Yarrowia lipolytica: one gene and its partners. The protein of the gene in region 2 interacts with the protein of the main gene of each other region in a biochemical or structural test. Links are inferred from orthologs where the notes say so. Each region holds a gene or a part of one and is shown on either strand. Other genes may lie near its edges.

Evidence for each region.
Region 1: the proteins of YALI1_B09894g (region 2) and YALI1_A14345g form a complex in vitro, tested with the Saccharomyces cerevisiae proteins (6 studies listed by BioGRID). The link is inferred for Yarrowia lipolytica from reciprocal best matches to the Saccharomyces cerevisiae genes CYC8 and TUP1.
Region 3: the proteins of YALI1_B09894g (region 2) and YALI1_F32512g form a complex in vitro, tested with the Saccharomyces cerevisiae proteins (3 studies listed by BioGRID). The link is inferred for Yarrowia lipolytica from reciprocal best matches to the Saccharomyces cerevisiae genes CYC8 and CTI6.

Annotation. Positions count from the first base shown.
Region 1 is NC_090770.1:1,431,625-1,438,464, reverse strand, and holds YALI1_A14345g (uncharacterized protein), read right to left. Parts: upstream 3,954-6,840; coding exon 2,010-3,953; downstream 1-2,009. Other genes in the region: YALI1_A14377g (uncharacterized protein), read right to left, coding at 300-776; YALI1_A14368g (uncharacterized protein), read right to left, coding at 906-1,604; YALI1_A14305g (uncharacterized protein), read right to left, coding at 6,635-6,840. UniProt on the Saccharomyces cerevisiae protein: Acts as a component of the CYC8-TUP1 corepressor complex which is involved in the repression of many genes in a wide variety of physiological processes including heme-regulated and catabolite repressed genes.
Region 2 is NC_090771.1:986,699-994,290, reverse strand, and holds YALI1_B09894g (uncharacterized protein), read right to left. Parts: upstream 4,843-7,592; coding exon 2,185-4,842; downstream 1-2,184. Other genes in the region: YALI1_B09931g (uncharacterized protein), read right to left, coding at 861-1,111, 1,160-1,169; YALI1_B09929g (uncharacterized protein), read left to right, coding at 1,257-1,322, 1,366-1,554; YALI1_B09871g (uncharacterized protein), read right to left, coding at 6,611-7,108. UniProt on the Saccharomyces cerevisiae protein: Acts as a component of the CYC8-TUP1 corepressor complex which is involved in the repression of many genes in a wide variety of physiological processes including heme-regulated and catabolite repressed genes.
Region 3 is NC_090775.1:3,247,960-3,254,464, reverse strand, and holds YALI1_F32512g (uncharacterized protein), read right to left. Parts: upstream 3,254-6,505; coding exon 1,688-3,253; downstream 1-1,687. Other genes in the region: YALI1_F32546g (uncharacterized protein), read left to right, coding at 1-310; YALI1_F32534g (uncharacterized protein), read right to left, coding at 446-970; YALI1_F32498g (uncharacterized protein), read right to left, coding at 3,478-4,614; YALI1_F32476g (uncharacterized protein), read right to left, coding at 5,019-6,505. UniProt on the Saccharomyces cerevisiae protein: Component of the RPD3C(L) histone deacetylase complex (HDAC). Responsible for the deacetylation of lysine residues on the N-terminal part of the core histones (H2A, H2B, H3 and H4).

The DNA of each region.
Region 1 (6,840 bases), on a different chromosome or scaffold from region 2:
CAGGGTACAGGGTAAGGGGTACGGTAGTTTGTATTGTACGTTTACACCTCCGTTGAATGGTGATAATAAGTGATGACAGTTATGAACTTTGGCTGAGATGGAATAAGTCGGTGTTTTGACGGGCTGAAAGTGGTTGTTGTGTAACGGTTGTAGTATTGGAAGAGTATGGAGATGAAGAGTATTGAGAAGTAGGGTATCTTCGGAGAGTGGATTTCAGTGGATCAGTGAACGTTAGGTTTGGAGTTCTCCGATGTTTTGTTGGTTGTCGGAAGTATTTCCCAATATTACTGTTTTCGTTGTCAGTAGTAGCGGCTATTCTGGGTTAGTACGGAGTCGGCAGATGTATGGATGTGAGCAAGAAGGTGAATTAGGGTGAATAAGAGGTGAGTGATATCTTTCACGTTTTCCGACTGACGAATCTTGAAGTTCAATTGACCTGGTATATTGTACAAGTACAAGTACAAGTACTTGTAAAATAGTCGTTCCATGACGTGCTTGAACCTGCTCACTGACTGGAATTCTCTCTGCTCGGTTTGACGTGATCCAGTTATGTCCATCCAATTCAGAAGACATAAGATGTTATTGGTCAAAGAACAGGTTCGAGTGAAAATGGTGGAAGATTGAAACGAGGAGATGATGGAATTGATTTGAATTCTGGTCACTTTCGTGCTTGTGATTGTGCTCATATCTGTTCCTGTACTTGTAGAGAAGTAACAGGCCTTTGAAACATTCTGGATGAATGAACACTCAACTTGTCCATTACTTGTAGCTAACATACCTCAATCTAGTTCACAGATGCCTCATATACGCCCTGATAATGCGGTTTGGTGGACCCACACGTATGACCATGCCTCTTGAGAACGGCTCCTCCCACCACTGGCGAGGGTCCTATCACCACTGAAACACTACTCACGACAACCTCCGCCAAACCGCCTCACGGGCTCCTCCCGAATACTAGCGAGGGTCCCATTTGGCGGAGTGGAGACCAACATCATGTCGTAATGCATCTTCTCGATTTCGGCGTCCTTTTGATACAACAGGTTCGTGAGCTGCTCCAAAACCGCCTCCTGGTTCTCAATCACTACTCGCATCTCCTGCACCAGCTGATGGTGGAAGTCCGTGAGCATGTATTTTGGCGGCTGTTCTTCAAGGGCCTTTTTCTTCTCGTCTTCTCTGATGGCCTTGCGTCGTTTGCGTGCCGTGGGGCCAAACTTGTTGCGAATCTTGGCTGCCAGTCTGTCGGCCCGTGACGGGCCAATGTTCCACTTGCCGTACAGAATCTCGCGCTGGTGGCGGATCACGGGCCGGTTGGGGTTCTCGGGAGGCAGTCGCGCGTCGAGCTGCGGATCGTTGTGCACTTCAAGCAGCTCGTTGAGAGACATGACCTGCGGCGGCTGGTTGAGGCCCGAGTTGGACGGGTTGACGTTGGCCGCGTTGATGGTGGTGGCATTGGCCAGCGGGCTGGGTGGAGCTGCTGATCTCCGTGAGCCGTTGCCAACAAAGGTGCCGAGAGCATCAATAACATGGGGACCACGGGGAGCCGTGGAGCTATTGAGCAAACAAGGTCCAGAGCCATTCATGGTAAGTGGCGAATGAGTGGACATTAGAGAGAGGCTGGCGTTAGAGTAATCACAGACAAAAACCAAGAGAGCAGAAACCGAGCTGAGTTGAAAAGTGGGGACATTTTCAGCTCCACTTTTCGGCTCCACCCGGTATCTTCATTCACATGACCAAAACGTCAACACCAGCTGTCTGAAGAGGGTAAACATGAACGAGTACAAGTATACATAGCACGTTGATACCCCATCGTCAACAAGTACATACAGTATTGCACTCGCATATACTCCACCACTACAACTCCATGTTTGTCTAATAATAATACCACAAAATTTTATACACTACATAGCCCTGTCTTCCCTAGATTGCGTGCAAACGGAGCAGGCTTCATCCAGACATCTAATGTCTTTGTTAACTGCCAGACACCCGTCCGGCCTCGCGACCGCCCAGGATTATCTGTTGACAGGAAAGTATCGCCAGATTCGAGCCTTGCAATCTCCACTTCCAGTAGCAAACAACCCGCCCATGGGACTAGGAGCCACACTGATGACCGAATTTCGATGACCCTGCAGCATGAGTTGCACCTGGCCCGTTCGAGGGTCCCAGAATTGCACACCCCGGTCCTTGGAGCCGGAAAGAATCCACTGCCCATCCAGCGTGCTGGCCACACTCAGAACAAAGTCCTTGTGTCCACACAGCGTCTTGACGCAGACGCCTCCTCGCTGGTTGGCCTGAATGCCTCGAGGAGCCTGCAGCTCCCACAGCTTGATCGTCTTGTCCAGCGAGCCGGAAACAAGATCCATACCGTTGGGGGTGAAAGCTACACTATAGACGGAGTCCTTGTGTCCATCAGGGGCCTCCAGACGCTCAACCAGGAAACCGGTAGAGGTGTCCCAGATTCGCACAGACTTGTCCAAGCTGCCTGCAGCCACAAACTTGCCGTCGGGCGAGATGGCCACCGTGGTGACGCCGTCCTCGATCGACAGGGTTAGAGTACACTGGCCGCTCTCAATATCCCACATTCGGACTGTGCGGTCGCCAGAGCCAGAGGCAATGTGTCGGCCGTTTCGCGAAAAGTCCAGCGAGTAAATGTCCTGCTCGTGGCCAGTGAACACGTGCCGTATGCTCTGAGATTTAATGTCCCACACTCGGATCTGCTTGTCCTCGGCGCCGGTGGCCAGGTACTTACCGTCCGGCGAGAAACACACGGACCGGATGTACAGGTCGCCTTCTCGGTCGACCGAGTCGTCCTGCAGCCGGCAGATGAGCTGGCCAGTCTGCACGTCGAAAATCTGGGCAGATCGGTTACAGCCAGTGGCAATGTACTTGCCGTCAGCGGAGAACCGCACACAGCACACTACAGAGTTGTGGTCCAGCGACTGCACAATATCCACGTCCAGCAGCCGTGGTGCTCGCTGGTTGTAAACGACAAACCAGTCGGCCTTTTGTTTTTTGAGCTCCGGAGGTACCCGCTCAATGTCCATGTCGCCCAGGTAGTTGCCCATCTCTTCGGGGCTCTGTTGCTGCTGCTGGGGAGGTTGCTGCTGCTGTGGAGGGCCCTGCTGTTGCTGCTGCTGTTGCATCTCTTGGGGGGCCACCTGGGGAGACGCCTTGCCGGGAACGGGGGTCGACACCTGTCGCTTCTTGCTGTTGGGCGAGGCCATTGCGCTGATGACGGGGGGTCCGTTATGTGGCGAAGACGTGTAGCCGTTAGCACCCACGTAGCCGGAGTAGGGCTGGGGTTGACCAGGTTGGGGCTGACCAGGCTGGGGCTGACCGGGCTGTCCCTGCGGGGGAGCCAGAGAAGAGGTGCCGGGCTGACCGGACATGATGCCGCTGAACACGTTGGATGATGGACGCAGCAGCGACGGGGGCTGTCCTTGCGAAGGGGGCACACCACCCATGTGGTGGGCCTGGGCCTGGGCCTGCTGTTGAGCCTGGGCCTGCTGTTGGGCCAGAGCCTGCTGCTGGGCGGCCTGCTGCTGGGCGAGGGCCTGCTGCTGGGCTGCCTGTTGTTGCGCGGCCCGTGCTTGTTGGTCCTGTGCCTGCTGGTTCTGCTGCTGCTGTTGCTGCTGTTGCTGTTGCTGCTGTTGCTGCTGCTGGGAGTGTGCGGGGTTCGCAGCGGGTCCACCTCGGGCCTCCAGCTCGCTCTTGAGCCGCATGATTTCCTCCTCGTAGCGCTCCTTCATCTTTCGGTGCGCCATTTCTAGCTCGTAGACCGACTGTCGAATCTGGCCCAGATCTGACGTCTGCTGGTTCACCTTGACGTCAAACTCGTCCTTGTGCAGCCGGTAGACGGACGCCTCGTTGGTCACGGAGTCGAACTCCTGTTTGATGGCCTCCAGAAGCTCGTTGAGCCGTTGGCCCGGCGCTATTACTTGTTGGGGGAAGCTCATCTGGGTTAGTATTGTAGAGTCTGGTGTGACCTATGACCCAAGAGGCTGACGGGTGATGCAGATTCGATGATTCATGGATGGCAGAGATAAGGGCAGAGGCAAGGGCAGAGAAAGAGATGGCTAAAGATGGCGGAGGTAAGATGGCGATAAGATGGCGATAAGATGGCGATTAAAAATGGCGATAAGATGGACAACACAACTGCGGACACGTGTTAGGATGGACTCCAAGCGTCATTGTCCGACGATGACGCGTTCCAATCGCCAAGACGTGATGAATGCCCTCTTTTGGGTCTTGTGAACCCATCATCACCGATTACCCTTCACCACCACCACCACCACCATCCATCATCACCAATCATGCATCGCAGACGGCCATCATCCGACCTCCATCGCCATCATCCAACTCCATCGCCACCATCCAACTCCATCGCCAATCCATCCACGTGGCATTATCTCTGTGTCGTCATGTTCGGGTCTCGTGTTCCGTTCTGATGTCGTGTATCTTGTCGTGTCACGGGAAGCAAAAAACATTACAAGAAGGCCGGCTTGGGGCCGTTCGCCGGTGTCGGGGATTCTGCATCTGTGTGCGTCTCGTCATCGTCTGCGTCGACGCGCTCCGGTCTCGTACTCACCTGGTCCTATTGTACAACTCGTTGATGGCTCAAGCACAATTGCCAATTGTCGATGATACACCTGCAGCGCTGAAAATGAGTAGTGCTGTGTTGTGTGAGAAACAAGCTCCAAAGATGTAGTGCAAGGTCGGGTAATTCTAAAAGATGGCTGTCATGCCCCGTTGGGTTGGCGTGGGTTAGGGCCCAACCTTATTCTCACCATCGTCGAAAAACAAGTGGGGGGGACCCCAAGAGGGGGCACTCTGACGCTCAACCTTATTTAAGCTTTGTCCGTCTAAATAGAGTGATTTTTGAAATAGGCTCCGAAACTCTAAAGTTTAGAAGTGGCTACTGTATGACGTTGTCATGTTTCTCACGCTGGCAGTTTAGGGTAAGGGGTGGGATTAGAGTTCCCAGGTACTTGTATACGCCGAGTCTAAAATAAACGCCTAAAAGAGGTGGGAGATAATGTCCCAGCCAATGGCGGCCAAGAGTCCAAGATTGTCTGGCCTCTCCTGTAGAGCCCTAAACGCCACTTTTTATACCCTAACCCGCATGTGGTGATGCGGAAAGCTGGCGGAACTGGAGTGTTGGACATGTTGGAACTGTTGTGGCAAGACTTGAACGGGTGAGTCTGTGGAATAGGGGTGAGGGATGAGGGTCGATGCGCACGGAGCGCGCTAAGAGCGGTATTGTGGCTATGTTTGAGCAGGGGTGTTTGGGTGGGGTTTCGGAGATTAGGAGGAAGTTTTGATAGTTCGCCCGTGGGATATTTAGTAATTGGTGGAAATGGTGGAGGAAAACGGGGACAATAAAATGGGTGGGAAAAACCCAGCACAAGACGGATTGAACTGCCGTTCTGATTGATCCGATGTCATCAAGGGGGATTCCGAACTAACCGCGGTTCAAACCTCGCTAGGGTCATTATATGTGATGACTAAGTTTGTATTTTTCTTTTTATTCTTGGACATACATTGATTATATAATACGCCCTTCAAACTGTGCTTACTAAAAAGAATAAAAAAATAATAATAAAAAAAAAATAAAAAATAAAAACATAAAAAGATAATGTTTATCCGGTCTAGAAGGGAAATGAGAGGGTTATGGGAAGCACAATTGGAGAAGGGTTGTCATATGTTCTTCTGTAAAGCCCGAATCCGAGTCCATTCTACTGGTACTGTTTATCTTTGTTACAGGCTCAAGTACGAGTCTATTGAATTGTTGACTACCGTGAGTATGATTCTTGAAACATATTAAATCTACAGGAAACCTAAGTATACCAATTGACATTTAGTTAACTCTTACAACCTTGTCCAAGGACTCTAGTTCCATAGCAGTGCACATCAGGCTTGTTTGGAGTTCGTGATTAATATTCACAAGAGATCCCAGACCAGATAAATAACTCATAAATGATTGGAACCATCAGTCTAAGTACTGATCTCACTATAGTCAGAGGTCAGTACAAGTGCCAATGTTTCTATCTCAGAGTCTGGTTCCTAACACCAAGTGTTACGACAATACAAGTCCACTCCTGGGCTCTACAAGTACGATCGATATTCGACTATTACTACATGTAGAGGACTGTTTATGAGGTTTCTGTAGGTGTTTCTACCAAAAGAAACAATCCCGATGCCATAATAGACCCTAATGTCTGTTATCGTCGGTTATCACCTGTTCCACTCATTCGGGGAGGGAATTTATGGGTCAACCGTCGTATACTGTTTACAATACAAGTCCTTGTAATTCATTCATCAGTTGAAAAAGTGTTCTGCCCGTTTTGAATGCTACAATACCCAGTCCTGTCCAACTTGAATGTTACAATGTCGAGATCTGTTCAAGTTGAAGGCTTACTAACGAGTTTGTTGTTAGCAGCACAACTCCAGTTGTTTCATATATGACCAGCTATTTCTGATCTGAAACACACACCACCGTATTTGATTGCTCCTCACATACACCACCGTCAATAGGTCCTCTCCCCATACCCCACTGTCACTGATTGCTCTATACTGGACAAGGCAATCACACCACCAATTCCACCATATAAATATTATTTACAGGACGCCAATGCCGTCAATCTTCCCAATGTCCATACAGATACTTCCAGTCCTCAATCTCTTCCACATTGAGTCGTAGCTTCTCCTTGTGTAGCTTGACCGCCTGTCTTCCCAAACACAACCGAAGAGGAGGATTGGCACAATGAGCAGCCTCCCAAACGGTCGCGGCCACCAGATCAACAAAAGAAACCTCGGTGCTATCTCTGGGCACTGCCGGAGGCG
Region 2 (7,592 bases):
ACCCAGACGCTTCTTCAATAGCTCTGGTGACAGTTGTTGGGTGTTTTGCTGGTAAAAGTGCCAGTGATGATCTGAGATTTGGGTGCTTAGTGTTGTCGCTAATCAGGGTTTGAAAGCACAGTTTCAAACTCGCATCTCTGGGGCTTATTTGGAGGTGAATTCTGAGGATCGTACAAGTTGGTGGATATTGCCGTTAGCTAACAGCAAGGTACACCATTGCAACTTTCTAAAAAATTGAACGACAACAGTTGCGAGATTTCGAATCTCGTAACATTTGGATGTGAAGTCGGAGACAGCCATCAGTTCGGTTCCATCAGTTCCACTTGACTTTTGCTAAATGACCAGATTGAATTGGTTCAACTGTCGTCGGTGTCAACTCACAGCTAGGTTGATACTGCAGATCGGTGACTGACTGACTCCGACAGTTATCATTTGGAGATGGAGAGCTCTTCGTATGAAGGAACAGTCTTCAACCTGCTGCCCCAGGCACTTGTCATGGCATAGACGGCTCTCTTGAGATGTCATTTCTTGAGCCCAAAATTGACGACCAGAAGGACATGCGCGAGGGTCCCTTATTCCGATATCCACGGGCTGAGAAGCGGTTACAAGTCACTAGATCCACAGCGATTTCCAGCGACTTTTCAGATCTGAAAGTCGGCAAAGTCTTGGAAAGTCCGCGAAAAATCCTGAGCCGCAATATGACTCAGTGGAACCATTCCTCACATGAGGGAAATGAATTGAATCACGTGACACTACCAGGACCCTCCCCCCCCATGACGTTCCAGGCGAGTTGAAACCATGTTGTCACCGAAACGTGTTTACGGAGTCGCGGAGTCGTCCTTCCTCTGTCCTTTCAGGTATCACCGGTGAATCCGACTGCTGAACAAGATGAGTTTCCGAATGACATCTAGGCAGTCAATACTGATCGAGAGCTCCATGTCTGTGTCGGAACTCGGTCTGGTTGAGAACTCGGTCTCGGTATCTGCTTCCTCATGATTTCTCCCCTTTTTTGGGTGAAAATCGTCAGAAAAGGGGAGAAATATTGCTGTGTTTGATAACGGAAGTGTCGCACTAGATGAACCTTTCTCGTAGACCTGGACGAATGGACTGACTTAACGGACTTGCTCAATGGGCTCCAGAAGCAACTCTTTAACTGGACAAGATTTCATCGTCAGGAGATCTTGCAGTCCAACTAAAACCTAAGTAAATGTGTCATTACAAATCTGAGAAAAACCTCGATTACTTCAAATCATGATATGAAATGGCACATTCTAGTCACTCAATTGTCCAACAGGCTCCTTTCCACTCCACTTGATCTACTTGTCTTCCATCTACCATTTCTGGAAACCCGAATTGGCACTCCAGTGGTGTTTTCCTTCAACTAAACTTGTGCAAACAGAATCAGACTCCACAGAACAGGAGAATTCCAAAGTACAACGTGAACAAACGGAGTGCTTCACTGAACCCATCCCTCCGATTAGGACAAAGTCTTGTGCGAAACAATTCATGAATGACGACGAAACAACACCGCACTTGTTGACAATTTTTGTATAAAAATGTTCACGAGACGCCTCCTACATGGATATATGATTCTTGTATGATCAAGAGCAGACCGAGACCTGCTGTCACAGGTTTTGTAAGACGGGTACTGTGTAGATGTAGAGATGTAGATGTAGAGACATGTTGAAGTTCACACCCACTTTGCTACATCTATTGCCTACTCCGACTCACATCTCAGCGACTCAGAGACAAGTGTGAGAGAATCAAGGAAGACAACAAGAACTTGTACAGGATAGTAACGTAATCAACATATCATACCCATTCAGCTCTGGTGCTTGTGTACACTGAAAAACGGACACTCAGCCAAATAAAGATCCACTCAGTCCGATGTTAACCAAACACCCATTCACCGCCAGAAGGATAAGTAACCGATACAACACTTATAAAACGTTCAAGATGATGGTTCCAGTTGGTTGTTTGCTCACATATCTACTCCAAAGAGGCCGCTCTTGACCCCTCTTGACCCGTTTGACAAGTATGGCTACAACATGGCTACACAGGACACTCTTCTGACATAACGCCATCAACATGTCATTTCCATTCAGCACAAGCACATCAGAATATACCAAGATGGATCGAGTCCGCTCTTAACTATCATACACTTAATCTACATTACTAATACAGTTACTTGTCCTCGGATTTTTCCTCCTTGGCCTCATTCTTCTTGTCGTCATCCTTGGACTCAGCTGGAGCCGGAGCAGCAGCAGCAGACGGAGCCGGAGCAGCAGCAGCAGCAGCAGCGGGAGCGGCGGACTCAGTAGCGGTCTCGACCTTGGCGTCCTCCTTTTTAGGCTCGTCGTCGTCATCGTCGTAGTCCTCCTCCTCTACCACCTTTCGCAGGGGCGCTTCCGGCGGAGGAGAGGAGGGGGCGGGAGCAGGAGTAGGAGCAGGAGCAGGTGCTGGAGCAGCGGAGGCAGCGGGGGCAGCGGGGGCACCAGAACCAGGAGCAGAACCAGAACCGGGAGCACCGTTGTTGGCAGTGGCGCCACTGTTAGCAACGTTAGCATTGTTAGCATTGCTTCCGGTGCTACCAGCGCTATTGCCACTACTCGCAACGGCTGGGCCAGGAGCAGGAGCAATGCTGGGCGTAGATGCGGCCGAAACAGGAGCCGTCACTGGTTGAACCGGCTTCACGTCGCTAACCTCGTTCGCGTCAGACTTAACGTCAGATTGAACGTCGGGCTTCTCTGGCTCCTGAGCCTGCGCAAGTGCACTAGGAGGCGCGGCAGGAGGCACGGCGGCAGCGGCGGCGGCAGTGGGCGCCGCAACGGGCGCAGAAACAGGCGCGGAAATAGGCACCGCAACGGGCACGTCCGGCTCCTCCTTCTTGGGCTCAACCGCTGCGGGAGTCGGCGTGTCCTGCACTGGTGGCAGCTCTTGGGTCGTCGGCACGTGCTGGGGCGCGGGCGGCGGCACCGTGGGTGGGGGCGGAGGCAGAGGCGTGGTTCCAGCGGCATTGGCGGCGTTGGCAACAGCCGGAGGAGCGGCCGGAGGCGCACCGGGAGCACCGGGAGCTCCAGGAACACCCGAACCAGCGCCCGAAGAGCCGATATCACGCTCAACGGCATTAGCCTGGCCACCCGGAGCAAGATTGGGGGTGTTATTGCCGCTGGCGGGCGTGGCGGCGCCATTAACATCCACGCGCTTGAAACGGCGCTCGTCCTCCCATTCGCCGGGTCGCTTCTCGCCTCCCTGGTGACCGTGGCCGTTTTCGGCGTAGTCAATCTGTGGCAAGACGCGCTGCTGGATCTCGGAGATTCCGGCGAGCTGTGGGAGAGCGGCAGCGGGTTGCGGAGGCGTGGGAGCGGCGGTCTGGGCGGTGTTGGGCGCAGTCTGAGCAGCCGGAAGACCGTTAGGAGGAGGCAGCGGCGCAGAAGAGGCTGCCAGAGGAGGAGGAGCCCCAGATCCAAGACCAGAGGCGTTGGAAAGCCCGCCGGGAGGCCCGCCGGGAGCCAGTCCTGGAGGTCCAAGTCCAGGAGGAGCCTGAGGAGTTCCGGCAGCTCCTCCGGCAGCTCCTCCGGCAGCAGCGTTGGCTCCAGCGGCTCCTCCAGCGGCATCGTCCCAGCCAGGAGGACCGTGATGGCTGTAGCTCTGGGGATTGACGTCCTGGGGTCGAGGAGGACCGGCGGGGGCGGCGCCATTGTGGCCCTGGCCCGATCGCAACTGCAACAACCGCTCTTGGATGTGGGGATTGTGGGGGTCCAGCTCGGCGGCCTTCTGATAGGCGTCGATGGCGTCGTTGACTTGGTTGTTGCAGCTCTCGTAGAGCGTGCCGAGATCGTACCAAACCTCGGAAATGTAGGGATTGAGGCGGATGGCGCGGGAGTAGGCGTCCAGAGCGTCGCGGTACTGGTTGATCTGGTAATAGAGCACGCCAATGGAGCACCAAAAGGTGGGGTTGCGCCCGTCGCGGTAAACGGCCCGTTGATAGGCCTCGTACGCCTTGTTGTACTTTTGCTGCGCCATGTAGCACCGGCCCAGTAGATACCACGACTGGGCCTCCAGGGGATCTGCGTCCAGCGACTTGAGCAGATAGTTGATAGCCACATCCTGGTTGGCAAAGGTGGACGATTGCTGGTGGTGGAGCCAGCCGAGTTGCTGTAGAACCTTAGCGTGGTTGGGGTTTTCCACCAGCACGCGGTCGTAAGCTTCTCGCGCCAACTGGAAGTCCTTCTGCTGCTCATGGACATGGCCAATCTGGAACCAAATGTCGATTTCGGTCAGCGGTCGAGGCGGGTTGTGCAGAATGTACCGGAAGCAGTCGAGGCTCTGCGAGTACTTGGCCTGCTGCTTGTAGATGATGCCAAGCCGGAAGTAGATTTCGTTGGCCTTCTCAAAGTGCGGGTCCATTTCCATCACCTGCGAAAACGCCTCTTCGGCGTACTCCAGCGAGCCGTACCGGTCGTACAGAATGCCGATGCCGTACCACAGCTTGGGGTCCTTGGGGTCCCGCAGATGGTACAGGGCCTGCTGGTAGGCGGAGTAGGCCTTGTGCAGGTCGTCCATCATCAGATAACAGTGGCCCAGCGAGCCGTGGGTCTCGCCCGAGTCCGAGCTCAGCGAGATGATGTTCTGGTAGTACTCCACCGCCTTGGGGAAGTGTTCCATCGACCGGTACAGGTTGGCGATGGCGGTCAGAGCGGGAATGGAGCAGGGGTTGTAGGAGAGCGCTGCCTCGTAGGCGTTGATGGCGCGTTCCGACTCGTTGAGCAGCTCTGCCAGCGAGCCCACCGCCAGCCAGGTGTCGATCGACGCCGTTTGTAGTTTTTGTAGTTGGGTCATGGTCAGAGTAATGAGTAGTCGGAGTAGTCAGCAATACCGTAATAGTAGTCAGCAATCACAATCAACAATCTCGTCAATATCAATCGTCAACGAGAAATGTCCTTGCCAAAAAGTAAGCCCTTGTCGAAGTCGTCAAAAGTAGTAACAAGTCGTCAACCAAAAATTGTCGAAAATCGGTCAGCCAAAAAATCACCAAAATCAACCAATCACGTGACAGAGGCGAGCGATATCCAGACTCGAAAATCACGTGTGTGCGTGTGTGTGTGTCTCGTTTGTGGCGGTCGTTTGAATTCGGCGTCCGAAAAAATGCCTTGTGTTTTTGTGTCTCTTGCGCCGTTTGTGTCGCAGGCTTTTATGTCCGTTGTTCGCTGTCTGTGTCACGAGGTCGAATCGAGAGCCGGAAAAATCGGGGGTGGCGCTAAGGCGGCAGCTAGCAGCAATTTACCGTCAAAACAATCACTTTCGCACCAACAAAGGGTTCGGGCAGAATTGGGATGTCGTAAAAAGTCGCCCAAAACAAGTGGTGATGTTTGAATGCAGCAGGGCAGGGAGGAGGTGGAGTAGGGTTAGAATTAGGGTTAGGGCTAGGTTTTGGATTGGTCGGTCGGGGGGGGTGGTGGTTGAGGCTTTTTAGACTTCGGGCTCGGAAAAACCTTATTTGAGTTGGGGGAACGGGGAAAACAGGGTGTGCCTGGGAGGGTTAGGGTTGTGGGAAATGAGTAGGATAGTGAAGATTATGTAATACATAACACTTATCCTAACGACCCCTGGCCCGATAATTTTATTCCGCTCGAGTTGGGTCACGTGACCAGCCACATTGGTCTTATCTTATTACCCTCTACGCAACTATCGTCCTGCCCCTGCCCTGGTGGTCAAACTCAATTTTTATTTCCACTGCAACGGCCCCCCGGGTAACTAGGCAATCTTATTTTGCGCTTACGTGGCGTATTGCCCCATTACTCATGTGCGGCGCGTCGTATCCACCCACGTGCATAATGGTGAACTGGGTACGAGTTAATCTGGTGAACGGCGGTGTGGAGGTGTTGTTGCTTGAAAAAGGGATAAAAGATGGAGCAGATGATGTGTTGATAGAGAATGGATGGCTTAATTTCCTGTATTTAATGGTGAAATGTTTTTACTGTTGGGTTGTCGGTGATATTTATTGTAGTGTCGTCGGGTGTGATTTTTTTAAATAAATAAATAAATAAAAATTTTTATTAAAATAGAAAATGAAAAAATGGGAAAAGGAATAAAATAATAATAAAATAATATTGATAATACTTATTTGAAGTAATATTTAAATATAGAATAATAATAATAATAAATAATAATAATAATAATAAAAATATGGAAGAAAACCCTCGCACATAAGAAATGGAAATCGTGGCCAGTTGGAGGGAAATTCGGCCGCACGAATACGGGTGGAATAAGAAGGGTTAATTGAAAGACTGGGGTCGGGATATCTTGGGCCGTCTCTGGCATTTGGATAATGTGGTCTGAGTCATCAGACATGGCTGCTCTGAGCCCTATTTGCAGTAGGGTCTGGCGCCGCACTCCACGGAACTTTGGCTGAGGGAAGATCCACTCAGGCTCTATTCTGTCAGCGACTGTCCCAGCTCTCCATTGTGCACCTCAAGTTTTTCACCACGTTTAGAGTCGGTGAGAGACCAGAGTGACTACTACTTGTAGAGTTAGAGCAGGGCCAGTCCCGGGCCACCCGGAGACTCTAGAACGGGTCTAGACAACTGCAGAATGTCCAATGACGACTTCAGGAGACTTGCATCATTTTGAACAACCCAGAAGGAGTGCCAAATGCTCCAGAACAAGTTAGATCACTCAATAATGAATTGAAACCTCCCAGAAAGACTCCACGACGACCTGAGAGCACCACGAAGATCATAGCAGTCAAAGTCTGCTCCACTCGCATCTCTCCCGTGTTAGAAATGCCAAACTTTAGAGTAACAGGCTCAATGTGAAGGTCTGGAGGGGCTGGCGGTTCATTCAGACGACTCATTCGGGCTGTACAAAGGTTGGCACGGCGCGAGTATGGTCTATGACTTATATTAGCCACACCAGTTGTGTTTTGAAACGCTCCGAGATTGAACCAATGGATCCAATTCCGCTCTGTCAGAAAATTGGAATCTGCCGTTGCCTCGAGGCATGAATTGGTCAGCCTGCCGTTCTGACGAGTCCCTGAAAAAGAGTCTGGCTCAGATGGCCTCATAGTGGGTGACTGGGTAAGTCGACAATCACTACTTGTAGACATGATCCCAACAAAGACTGCTGCTCTTCATCTCCACCTCCGCTCTCTCCACCTCCGCTCTTTCCACCTCCGCTCTCTCCACCTCCGCACCTCCACCTCCGCACCTCCACCTCCTTACTTCGGCCTCATCTCCCCAGAAATACTCACTCTCGTGTATTTGACTCGGCCTGTCGTTCGCACTCAGTACTCCCGTACATACTGTACAGCATCTTCGACATTCACTGCCCTACAGATGCTGCTAGGTGAATCATTCAATTATCTATATATTGTATCTTGCTGGAGTCTCAAGTGGATCGGACTGGATCGGACTGAATCGGACTTGATCGGATTAGTTGTAGTGTATCAAATGAGGCAGATCAGTCTGTTCTGCCCAATGCTGCAAACTCCAGGAGAACTAGACTTAGTAGGTGAAGAGAACCAGACTTGATACAACACGCATGGAATATGACACTCCTGGCATGACCCAATATCGGACTTGGTAGACCTG
Region 3 (6,505 bases), on a different chromosome or scaffold from region 2:
TAAAAGCCACAAGCAGTACTCGACGTCGATGCTGTCGCAGTTGGAGTCCCAGAACGACGAGCAAATGGAGGGTCTGTCTGCTAAGGTGCAGCTGCTGAAGGACGTGACCAGCAAGATCGGAGTGGAGATCCGGGACTCCAGCCACCTGCTCAACAACCTGGAGGACACTTTTGAAAATGCATCCACGAAACTCAAGGGCACCTTCAAGCGAATGATGATCATGGCCGACAACAGCGGTATTGGCTGGAGAGTCTGGCTCGGTCTCTTCGCCTTCATTTTCCTGTGTTTCTTCTTTGTTTGGGTGAGATGATTGTGGAGGACTGCTTTCTGGTTGGGCCAGCCAGTATTTAGGACTTATTTATGTATTGATAGACTGCACTGTATGTATACAACGAGACACTGTATCGTATTGATTTCTACACATTATAACTTATCTGAATGGTCGCTACCACTCACAAGACTTCGCCAGAATCAAGGCAATCTTCTCCAGTCCCTGCTGGTCCACCTCGTCGAATCCCTCTAGACTGGCACAGTCAATATCAATGACACCGAAGAGCTTACCGTTCAACACAATGGGAACTACAATCTCGCTCTTGGTGACTCCGTCGCATGCAATGTGCCCGGGAAACTCCTCCACATTCTTGACCAGTTGGGTCTTCTGCTCCTTGGCAGCAACTCCACACACTCCCTTGCCCAGAGGGATCTCCTGACATGCAACCTGACCATGGAAAGGTCCCAAAATCAGCTGTTCAGACTTCTTAGGATCAATCACGTAGAAGCCGGCCCAGTTGATGTCGCTGGATGGCTCGGGGAGCGATTTGAGACCGTGCCAGATGATCGACGAGGCATTGGAAAGATTAGCCACCCAATTGGTCTGACCATCAACTAGAGCTTCCACATTGGAGGCCATGGTGTCGTACAATTCGGACTTTGATTCCGACGAGAATCGAGAGTAATCGGCATGGACCATTGTGTGTAATTCAGAAGGTGAATGTTGTATGTGTATGTGTAAGAACAATGACGTTTGTCAAAGTCGGTATGAACGATGGTGTGCGCGTTTGGGTGGAGAAATAAGAGAGCCTAGAGGCAGCTAATACTGTACCTGTAGTTCAAGTCAACTTACCTTACTTGTACTTTCGGCTTTCCCAACGGCTAATTGCTTGATGTGGAGTGTTCTTGGAGGGATGGAGAAATGGGGAGAAGTAGAAAACAAGCTACAGGTACTTGTACTAAATGTTTCAACATATTGGAGCCTTTTCGTAATATAAACCCAGCCACTCTCACATCCATGACTGTAGAAACGCGTCGAATGTTGAAGTGAATAGTAGCGGAGCAATGCACATGGCAGACGCATACAAAACTTCCCTATTATTTGTAGTGGCCCCCGCAAAGGCTCACAGCACCACCTAAGCGAAATGACATGTCTACTTCATACATTATTCTTCTTGTTCTTGGCATCTAATATACGAATATAGAGATCGATAACCGACACTAAGCTACATTGTAGATCAGGTAGTAACCGCTACAATTAGCTTATCGCAATACCCAAAATTGAGACACATCCCCAATTGTTACCTGTAATAGGTTTCCTCTCACACAACGTGCAACGGTTTTTGCGGAGCGGCTATTCCGACGGCAAAATACCTTTAAATAATAATGATACAATAAATTAAGTATATTCTGTTAATCACCTTCGCTCGCCATATCTACCGTACTCCTGTTCCCACAGAAGCAGCTTGCGAGTTAGTCCATCCATCATATCTGCAGAGGTGGAGCTAAGCACCACCTGATCTCCAATCTTGTTCTGGTCACTGGCCATGTCCATCTGTGTGCGGCCAATAAATTCCAGTATCGCAGCTACCCGTCGTCGCATCTCGCTCATTGTAGTTCGTGAATGAGGTACCCGTGGCTTGGATGGCCGCTCGTCATTGTATTCGGGTGTCTCCTTCGGCTTCGGCGAGTTGGCTGCTCCTCCAGCACCCACCGACGTCTTTGTCTTGCGCTTTTTCCGGGCCTTGGCCACAGGCGAGTCCATCGAGTCGCTGCCGTCCATATCCGACTTTGCCTGGAGTTCCTGTTCGCGTTTCCGCTTCGGCGTTTCCGACGTTCCCGAGGCTGCTGCTGACCCGTTGGTTGTTCCATTTGTTGCAGCTGCTGCTCCAGAAGCAGTGCCAGTAGTCTCAGGCGATGACTTTTTGCTACTGCTGCTGTTGTTGGCTGTGGCGTTATTGTTGTTGGTCGTAGAGTTCTTGCTCGTTGTGGTTTCCTCTTTGACCTCCTTGTCCTTGCCTGCTTCGCGGGCGCTCTCCTGAAGCACCCGCTTGAGAGTCTCCTCATATGTGTCTCTGTTGCGACGTCGCGACGAGGTGGTTATCTCACGACGAGAGCTCGAATTGCGTCTGCTGCGAGTTGAGTCACGGCCTGCCTCGCCAGTTGCGTCAGAGATGTCTTCAGAGCCATCATCAGCAGAGCCAGCGGCAGAAGCAGCAGAATCGGGACGTCGACTTCTACCCGTACCTCGCTTTCCTCCCTGCTCGGGGGTGGACCCGGACTGTTGTCTGGGGCCACTAGCAGCTGCAGGCTCCTCTCCATTGCTTCGGGGAGGGTCGCGGGCAGACTCGCGTGTTGCACCAGTGCCGCTGTCTGAGGCTGTCGAAGAAGACGCTCGGCTGCTGCGCTGACGCTTTGGCGGGAGGAGCTCTTCTTCTTTGACCGAAGCCCGGCTACCATTGCCTTCATCGTTGCCATCCTCGTTTTCTTCGTCTTCATCGTCGTCGGCAGACTTGTTGTAGATGGACGTCTGGCCGCTTGGCCGTAGGAAAATCTGATGGAGGTCGGGTCGGCATTTCTCACAGTAATAGACATCGGGAACTTCAGACTCCTGGTACATGCCCACACAGTAGCCATGCTGCCACACAGAGCAAGAATCACACTGGATAAACAGACCCTGATCAATTTCCAGAGCCTTGGCAGCCCGGTCCAGATGCAACTCTTCGTGGCCACAAATGCACCGTGTAACCTCCTCGGACTCCACCAGTCCATCCGAGTCCTCGACCTCCTCATCCTCTTCAGGTACGGCTGCTGCTTTGTCGGCGGCCCGTGACTTGCGCTTTTTGCCTTCGCTGTCACTGGACGCTTCCACCGTGTCGTCATCAAAATTGCGTCTCGAGCGTCGAGCGGACATTGTGTTTGGTTGTTGCTGGTGTAAAAGATGTGTACTGGACGAATTTGGCCGGGGAGTCCAGCCATGCATATTCTTGTTATTAGGGTTTGATTATTAAGCAACATGTACCGTTTAGGATGGTCATTAAGGATAAGAGTGTGATGTTTTAAAATGTGGAATGACGAAGGGAAACGCGTTTCCTGATGTACAAATGCAACAAACGAGCACACCAGTTCAAAGGGGAAAAAAATGTCTCTCTTTCTTGAATACCAAATAAATAATGCAACTATGTAGCGATGTAGACCTATGTACATTTACGTCTCCTCCTCCTCTGTGTCAGCCCCGTAAACAGATCTCTCAATAATCCAGGTGGACAGAATGTACAAGTGGTTGATACCACATCTAACCACGGTATCAACAGCAATAGCGCCGCAGAGATCTGGGAAATCAATCTGCAGGTCATCCCCAAAAGATTTGCCGACAGCAAACCGGAAAAAGAAGAAACCAAACAGATTGGAAGTCATGCATCTCATGATGAAGGATGATCGAAGGAAGTTCTCATATAAAACCGCAAATGGAGGCATATGATGGGCCACTTCGGGTCCCATTTGTCCGTGAGACTTGTTGATTTCAGCCAGATGCGTTCGACCCACCAGACCAAGAAAGTAGTTGGATACATGCCAGACGGCCATGACTCCGACATTGGGTAGAGCTGGAGTCCAGGGGTTGTAGAAATTCTGCAGCCAGGCAATAGACGGGCCCCAGGGCGAGTTGTTGGGGGTGTCGACGTTGTTGTACACCCCCAAAATCTGCATGGAGGAGTAGTAGAAGAAGGGGAATGACATGATGCAGGCCGTGAAGTGTTTCAGGGCAAAGGGGATGATTTCAGCCATTGTGTGGTTGCCCTTGAGCACGCTTATGATGTTGATTTTGTGTTCGCTTTTGACCATGGTCCCGTTCTCCCACGTATACGAGCCTGCGTCCGGTTGGTCTGAGATAGCTTCCTCCACCATACTCTGCGCCAGGGAAGCCATGAATCCGGGGAACGGATTGCCGCTGTGGATAGTTCCCTTCAGTAGTTGCCAGTATGTTTGTCCTCCGGATCTGCCAATTGTGTGGTATCTAGCCCAAGATACCTCCAGGGGCCACATGCCCATCATCTCTATACCTCTAACAATCCCCTCAGGGATAATACCGAGTTCCCAGGCTCGCATCCACTTGTCGACATAGTCGTTTGATTCGGCAGGATCAAGCAGAGCGTCCAGATCAGCGGCTGAAGTAGGAGGAGGTACAATCTTCTCGGCCTCCAGGGAAGACCGTCCATAGCTGTTGAGAATCTTGTGTTTGGCGTTGAGCAATTCGTGGTTGAGAGCAAGAGATTCTGTTTCTGTATTCTCATTGGTGGCAAAACTAGGCCCCAGCAGGAACCGCAGTAGCCTTTTCGTGATCATTTGTGGTGTGTGTTAGTATGTTCACGTATTGTACGAACAGGTATCCACAGTTGACAATATGCACCACACGCCTTATGGAACTCTATTGTGTTGATTGAAATGAATTATACAGAAGTGGCAGACACAAAAAAGAAATATAGAAGTGAAATGAGCAAAAAGAAACATGCAGTCTTATGTCTCAATGCCTCTAAAACATTGGCTTTGGGGTTCACTTATACGAGGGATTCTGTTCAGTATGAAACCTTCCACAAACATGCTTACAGCAATACTGCAGATGGAGAAGCTGCAACTCTTTATAATTGTATACAACTGTTCCGTCAAATACAACCAAGTGATACCACTCTTACTCATTACAGCCCTCAGTTGTACTGTCAATCTAAAATTTATTGTATAGGTTTATGCGCTTATTCTCGAGAGATATCACGGCCGAAGACTCGGACCTTCATCCAATCAATGCAAACAAGAATCTTGTTTCGCATGGAGAAGCACATGGACACGTAGGCGGATCGCCAGAAGTAGTAGGTCATGGTTCCTCCGGAAGACCAGTTCATGATACCCCAGAAGTTGAAGGACAGGTCGGCAACGGCTCGGTCGGAACCAATGTAGGCCAGAGAACCCTGGTGAGAGTACTCGAAGGGCAGCATGGCTCTGGATCGTCGCAGCTTTCGGGACTTGGACTCGAGTTGAGCAAAGATGTTCTTTCGCTCCTGCTCGTCAAAGGTGTGCTCCGACTGCTTCTCGAGGTTGGTGATCTCGTTGTTGAGGTCCTCGGTCTTAGCAATGCCGTTGAGCAGGTTAGCAAGGTAGGATCCCTCCTGGGAGGCAACCTGGGCAGTGGGTGCGTACTTGGTGGCAGAACAGTCACCAAGAGCCCAGATGCCCTCGGTACCCTCAACAACAAGGTACTCGTTGACAAGAAGACCTCGTCGGGAGCCCTTCTGAGCAGGGATCTTGGACATGAGCTCTCGAACAACAGGTCGCACAGTGTTACCGGTGGCCCACACAAGAGTTCCGTAAGGCATCTCAAGGGTCTCCTTAGTACCGTCACCCTTGGTCTGCTCGGCTCGGATCACATTCTCGTCAACAGACTTAACCATGGTCTTGGTCAGAATGGAGATCTTCTCGTCAGAGAAGGTTTTCTCGGTGTAGTCAATGAGCTTCTTGGAGAAAGAGGGCAGAACGTTGGGGAGAGCCTCGACAAGAGTAACCTTGAAATCGTCTCGGATATCGGGGATCCACTTTCGGAGATCGTCCTCGAAGAAGTCCTGGAGCTCGGCAGCGAACTCGACACCGGTAGGGCCACCTCCAACAACGACAGTGTGCAGAAGTCGCTTTCGGACCTCAGGGTCCTTCTCGAATTGGGCCTTCTCAATGCAATCCATGAGGGTTCGTCGAATCTGCTGGGCGTCGGGGATCTCCTTGAGGAAGCAAGCGTTCTCCTGGACACCGGGGATACCAAAGGTGGAGGACATGGCGCCAACACCGACAACAAGATAGTCGAAGGGGATCTCCTTGATGACCTCCTCCTTGGAGTTCTCAGAGACGGCGGATCGGATGGTCACAATTCGCTTCTCGTGGTCAATCTTGGTAGCATCAGCCTCGAGGTACTGGCATTCGGCCTGCTTGTGTCGAATGATGCCTCGGATGGGCTCCATAATGGATCGGTGCTCAATGGTTCCGGTGGGACAAGAGGGCAGTAGAGGGGTGAACAGGAAGTAGTTTCGGGGAGAGACGACAATGACGTTGTAGTTAGAAGTATCGAGCTTCTTGAGGAAGGAGACGGAGCCCCAGCCGGAACCCAGCACCACCAGGGTCTTCTTGGAGGGGTCGGCGGGCAACTGGTCGGAGGGGTTTCGAATGACGTAGATTCGGTAGCCAATGTATCCCAGAG